Oryza sativa Japonica Group: one gene and its partner. The protein of the gene in region 2 interacts with the protein of the main gene of each other region in a pairwise test. Links are inferred from orthologs where the notes say so. Each region holds a gene or a part of one and is shown on either strand. Other genes may lie near its edges.

What was found.
Region 1: the proteins of anaphase-promoting complex subunit 2 (region 2) and cell division cycle protein 27 homolog B interact in binary tests that used the Arabidopsis thaliana proteins (3 or more experiments, as listed by UniProt). The link is inferred for Oryza sativa Japonica Group from reciprocal best matches to the Arabidopsis thaliana genes APC2 and HBT.

Annotation. Positions count from the first base shown.
Region 1 is NC_089040.1:25,890,474-25,894,310, forward strand, and holds part of cell division cycle protein 27 homolog B, read right to left. Parts: coding exon 3,824-3,837; intron 3,199-3,823; coding exon 2,903-3,198; intron 2,311-2,902; coding exon 2,164-2,310; intron 1,185-2,163; coding exon 944-1,184; intron 82-943; coding exon 1-81. UniProt on the Arabidopsis thaliana protein: Component of the anaphase promoting complex/cyclosome (APC/C), a cell cycle-regulated E3 ubiquitin-protein ligase complex that controls progression through mitosis and the G1 phase of the cell cycle.
Region 2 is NC_089038.1:24,728,954-24,731,869, forward strand, and holds part of anaphase-promoting complex subunit 2, read left to right. Parts: intron 1-113; coding exon 114-185; intron 186-591; coding exon 592-833; intron 834-1,318; coding exon 1,319-1,735; intron 1,736-1,833; coding exon 1,834-2,035; intron 2,036-2,161; coding exon 2,162-2,276; intron 2,277-2,358; coding exon 2,359-2,444; intron 2,445-2,772; coding exon 2,773-2,892; intron 2,893-2,916. UniProt on the Arabidopsis thaliana protein: Component of the anaphase promoting complex/cyclosome (APC/C), a cell cycle-regulated E3 ubiquitin-protein ligase complex that controls progression through mitosis and the G1 phase of the cell cycle.

The DNA of each region.
Region 1 (3,837 bases), on a different chromosome or scaffold from region 2:
TTCCATCAACTATACTTGTAGAAGACGAAGTTGAAGTTACATTATCTGTCCACATTTCATCAACAACGTGGTACCTGTTTCCTATGGTTCAGAAGGGGAAATAAAACCATCGTGAATATTAATGCACCATTCATATAGAGAAAGCTGATGCGATTATTATGATAATTATAATTTCACAAACCACGTAATTATGATATCGAAAAGGATAAGTTGATGGATTGGATGATCCTGCATCCAGTGAAGGAGAAGGATGTGTGATCATTTTAAAAGTCTTAAGTGTTAGGGCTCTTGAAACAGGATTCATGGTGCAAGAAGTTCCTTTCGATTTTTTTTTATCACAATAATCAGGAAACCTTATCCATAGGAGTGAAAAGTTCAAACAAGCAATGATACAGTAAAAATGTATGAATCTGGATGTAAATATTTATGTATTTTAGGAATAATGATCTAACATGAGGCGCCAAAGAAAAGGATAAGCAATTCTGCAGTTCATATGCTACATGAAGAAGAAACTAAAAACAATATGATAACGGAGACACTTCAAGGGTTGAATGATAGCTGATAATGTTCTGGTGGTATTATAGATGCTTAAAATTTCAGCTCAATAATAGAGATATTTAAAAGGTATATGGATTAACATGAACAGCCAATAAATTCGGTGAGTAGTTGCATGATGTTTCTTAGCATCCTAAATGCCTTGTGAGTTGTGGCTTGGTGTCATTATTGTACTTTTCAAGTACAATCAATACAATATTGATGAGTGAGTTTTACTAATGTGAACCCATTGCACATGAACATATAAGCAAACATGCAGATATATCCTGATTGCAGTGTCTATAACAACATATCAACCACATTTTTTGCGAGGCTTATATAATTTGAGGCTTATATAATTTGAGGCTTATATAATTTGATGAGTCATCCATGTCGAAATGGTAATCACCTTCATCAAAATTTTCTGTTGCCTGTGGTTTCCCTTTCCTAACTTGCACGGAACGTAGAGCTGTTGAACACAATTTTGATGGTGTGGACGAGTTTACTCGCAATTTACCTGACGAGTGATCTGTTCCATTCCCTCCAAATTGAGAGATATTTGAGTTTGAGTTTATTGTTGTATCTCTAGAAAGTCTTGCACTTCTTCGAGGAACTGAATCACTACTCTGATTAAACAGCCTTCCAGAAACCTGAGAAAATAATCTTTTAACTGAGAAAAATAATCTTTTAAGTCTGGTATCATCACAAGTCAAATCTAAAGTGGGGTATGAGCATGGTGTGAGGACTATCAACAGAAAGAACATAAAAGAGACTATACAGCCAGACCTCAAAGCAACAGAACAATAGAAACATAGGTCCAATATTAGACGAGATGAGCTCTAACGAAGGCAATAATAAATCAAAGATGAAAAGAACGAAACTACAAAAAATATTTGCTGGTTCCACAGTCCGTACTACATGGACAAACCTGTGAAAACAAAATGAAAACAATGATAATATCCCACTATTATTGAACAAAAGAATGCTGATGGAAAGTGAAGAACGTAAGGCGCTATGCAAAGATGAAAATGAGGCAACAATCTAGCAGCTAGAATGTTACAAAAACACCATCGGAGATATACTTCAAAGTTAATGAATGGTAAACTATCAAAAATTGACAAATCAGCTATTATCAGGTAAACTATCTCGTCGCTGGGGCTGGGTGTTGGTACAAACTTGATGGGTAGTCTGGTACTGTCAAACAGAACTATCCATAGTCAATGAATCTTAATTAATGGGCAATACAAACTAACAAATAAAAAGAAGACCGCAATCACAAACTTTGCAATGCAGACGCAGTTAGGTAGAAGCAAGGGATCAACATCCTGAATCCTGATAGAACAGCCATGACTGAAACTCTACAGACTCATACAACCAGGAAGTATTAGGCTGTAAATGCAATGAGCCAATGAATACTAATGCATTAACAAGCAATGCTAGTATGCACAACTGGAGAGGATCAGCAAGTATGTGGTTTACTCCAAACACGTATCATTTTCCGAGAGGTTTAATCTAACAATTTAAATTATTGAAAGAGGACAGTCGACCGAGAGAAACCTAGAAGCTCAAGAGATCAGTAGAAATTATAGAAGTTGCAAGACAGTATCTTTCAGTTGAGGAAACAACAACCTTCTTTAGGCCTGCTTCATCGATGTATTTTCTTCGGAGTGTCAGGTTCGGAGCATTAACCTTTGGTTTGGAAGGAGCATTGCCACCTGCTGTATTCTGATAAGCATGCATATTCCGAAAGAGTGGTGGTGGAGCAATGCCAGAAGCCTGCAAAAATTAAATTAATTAAATAGAAAATTGTGATAGCGCAACCATAGATCACATGTCTTTACACTGTATTGTGATGTTGTTTAAAGTGTGCTATATGCTTCTGTCACTCTTTCACTGCTCATCATCATATCCACCATGAAGCATATAACAGTGAACCAAAAGATACAAACTTTGCTGTGAGTATAATTTGATTTTTCGCTTTCCTTTTCCTTGTGATTTAACATTTGGCAGATTATTTACATTTTTGTTACTCATAACATGTAATTAGTTTGATTTTGATTTTTTTACACCTAGTCAGAGTAAATGAGAAGTACATCAAGAAAGTGCACAACTGCACTACAAAGGGTATGTTGCACTTCAAGAGCTGCTGTCTAACACCAAGTTGTTACTCTTCATGTGCAAAAAGGTCAACTGAAAGCATGTGATTCAGAGAAACAATAATGACAATATGCCAAATCTTTCTTGCAAACAAAGGTAAGAAGAGGATCTAGATAAACCAAATGTGCAGATTCTGGAGAATTCCTCAAAGTACGAATTGATTGTATCTGGTTAATCCTACTGGGTGAAGAACCAAACAAGTTTTGCTGACCTGCGTTGAAGTTGGCGATGGAGTGTCAAACTGTGATAAATTAGATGGTGCACCGTTCTGCATATGCAATGCAGTTGACTTTACATGAGGATAACCAGATACTTCTGCAGTGGTGTTAGCATGCAGCTGTTTAATTTGCTTAGGACTATCACCAAAACTTGCTGACACATTGGAAGATAGAAACCGATTTTCATTAACAAAGTTTGACTTTTCCACATTTGATGTGGATGTGAGTTCCTGCTGAAGACGTAGAGCTGTTGCTTCACTGAAACATTCATTTGCATCTTCAGCAACACCTACAAGATAGTTAATTAGTGACACACATGGTATATGCTTGCTTTTATATTTAGTGAGTATGAGGCCTTCAATATAAGGACTACTGGGCCATAGTGTAACTGCAACGGTATGCAAAAATAATAATGTATCAACATTAGGCATATCAATGGGCATGTATGGCAATGAACTAATCCCTGTTTTTTTTATAAGGTCTCTAAATGTGAAAATCATGATAACAAGAAAGTACTTTCAAAAGTGAATCTAATGACACCAATTCTGTATCGCAGCCTCTGCATATTGTTGGACTATTTGTTGGTCAAAAAATCGACAGAGGGAGTAATGAACATAATGGCTAAAAATATTATGCCTGTTTATTGATCTATCAAGCTAATAATGAATGACAGAATAAAACTACTATGATGCAAAACACATAACAGGCCTATTGAAGGTCTACTGCAAGTCACATATTTTGGATGACGTGTTCTTCTTCAGAAAAATCAACACTGTACTTTTCATTTCCTACTACTAGACATTTAGGAAATAAATCTTTGTGGTGAAGCAACACTTGACGCATGTAATTCTAATGTATAAAACTAGGAATGGAGGTGCTAAAAAACTTCACTCATAGTGTATTAACGCACCAACCTAGTATGCACAAT
Region 2 (2,916 bases):
GGCTCACTTCTTTACCTTAAGTACCTAGTGTATACCACATATATTATTTTGGCATGGACAATCTTGAATTTCTGCCTGTATCCTTATCTGAACTCTCAATTCTCATATTGCAGTCTAAAGTTCATGAACTAGCTGGTGATGATTATAGAATTCCTGTACTTGGGTGTGTCAAAAAGTGGATTCAGGTAACCTTTCTTATCCTCATTCAGTCATTTATTCAGAAACATCTCCCTGTCCGTCAAATTTGTTCTGTGTTTCTAGCTTCATATTATACCCGCTTAAGTAGTTGGGTCTTGTAAGGATAAATTATTCTCTGCAGGTTTAGCCTTTTTTCCCTCGCACATATTTGAATTGAAATAAGACTTAGTGTTAATGTAATAGAGCTGTCACATCAGTGCATCTATCATGAGCTAGTGCGCCTTAAGAATATTAATTTTTGTCTCATTGTTCTTTCAATTACTTAATACCTCTTTTGAATCAGTTCTGTAAGTCCATTGTATTTAGTGTAACATGATATCTACTATGCCCTTAATTCCATCTGTAAATGCTGCTCAGCATAATTTGCTGACAATAATTTCTGGGTCTTGCCAGGCCGTTCCTCTTAAATTTTTGCATGCTCAATTGACATATCTGGGGGACTCTCTTGACAATGAAAGTGGATCATCTGGTCTCAAATCACCTTTGGCCTCACGCCCTTCTTCCTTCCCTGGGATTGGCGTTCCTTCAGAAGCCCTTGTGAGATGGCACATGCGCCTTGAGTATTTTGCTTATGAGACCTTGCAGGACCTGCGAATTGGCAAACTTTTTGAAATCATAGTTGATTACCCTGAGAGGTTAGTCATTGTCCACTACATGATGCTGTTGGGCATTGAATATCCAAATATCTTTTCCAACCTTTGATATGCCTGTATTTTCTTTGCACTGTAAGGTGTAGAAGTGTATGCAGATTACTTGTTTTATTGGTAATGTTTATGGTGTCCTGTGTCTTGCTGGCAATCCTCATTTACCTGAAGGAGGTCTATATAGCATGATATAATTTATTTAGTTATTGCTTTTTTTCGTCATCTCTTTTTGTGACCAGTGAATAATTTGTTGCTCTTGAACCAAACATCTGCATTTCTTTTCATGTGCCACACCATGTCTTTTCCATGTTAAGGTCTAACCAAATATGTTCACACTTCACACGGCCATCTCAAACAGAAGAGTTTGCTTATGATATTTCTTTTATGTTGCATTAATTTAGTTTTATTCTTTATGATGTATGTGTTCTTAACTGGAGCACAGTTTTTAATCTGGAAATTTTTGGGTATTGATGAAGCTCTCCTGCCATTGAAGACCTAAAACAGTGTTTGGAGTACACGGGTCAACATTCTAAACTTGTTGACTCATTTATCTCATCATTGAGATATCGCTTGCTGACGGCTGGTGCATCAACCAATGATATATTACACCAGTACGTGTCCACTATCAAGGCATTACGTACAATTGATCCCACTGGTGTCTTCTTGGAAGCAGTAGGTGAACCAATTAGAGATTACCTGAGAGGTAGAAAGGACACTATCAAATGCATAGTAACAATGCTCACTGATGGATCTGGAGGAAACGCGAACGGAACTGGAAATGCTGGGGACAATCTTCTGGAAGAATTGAATAGAGATGCTGAAAACCAGGAAAATGTTGATTATGATGACCATACGAACATTGATGAGAAGCAAGCATGGCTAAATGCTGAAAGGTATATTTGCTCTCTGTTTCTTGAACTATTAAGAAATAATTGCTCCTTTAATAAGTACATCAATAAAACTGCTGTCATTGTGATTCCAACTTTTACAGCTGGGAACCTGATCCTGTGGAAGCAGACCCATTAAAGGGCAGCAGGAATAGAAGGAAAATTGATATTCTTGGACTTATTGTCAGTATAATTGGGTCAAAGGACCAGCTAGTCAATGAATATCGTGTAATGCTGGCAGAAAAACTGCTCAATAAATCTGATTTTGATATTGATTCAGATATCCGCACGCTGGAACTGCTTAAGGTTGGACTGTTACTTTTGTGATTGTCTTCTTAGCTATGCCTTTTCTATGTATTTGATTGAATTGCATATGATGCTATTCCTTAGTTGTTATCTCTATTTTTTTTAATGATGCTGTTGTTTTGGCAGATTCATTTTGGGGAGAGCAGCATGCAGAAGTGTGAGATTATGCTTAATGACTTGATTGACTCAAAGAGAACCAACTCAAATATTAAAACATCTTTATCAAAGACATCTCAAACTGGTACTGCTTAAACTGCGAGTGCTTGTACCAAACAGATCAAATGTTACAGCGTTTGCATTTAAACTCTCTTCTTTTTTGTCAGTAGGAACTGTGCAAGAGGAGACAGAATTGTCTCATGAGGTTCTTGACGCAACTATAATATCCTCCAATTTCTGGCCACCAATTCAGGTATGGTACAAAGCTTTTATCGAAACCATCATGGTAACTGTTGAGCTAAATTAGTGTCATCTGTCATGTCTTCCCTTTTCTTATTTTCTGCTGGGGCGTGGGGAGACCTATGACTAAAATAGTCTTCAGTTCTCATACTAATATTTCATATGGTAAGGAGATGTTGATTCACAGCTATTGTAAATTGGAAATCTCTAATCATGTTGAACTTGTTGCTCAACCAAGAATCATGCGGTCAATTACTGATGTTCGATCTTTACTGTTTATTTCACTTGACCTTAGTACGACAATCTGTCTAGATTCACTAAACCTCTCAAAACAAATGTAGACAGAAGACCTCACAGTTCCTGCTTCAGTTGATCAGTTGCTGTCTGATTATGCAAAAAGGTTTCATCAGATAAAAACACCACGCAAGCTACTCTGGAAGAAAAATCTTGGAACTGTCAAGGTTGGTATGAAACTTTAAACTGAA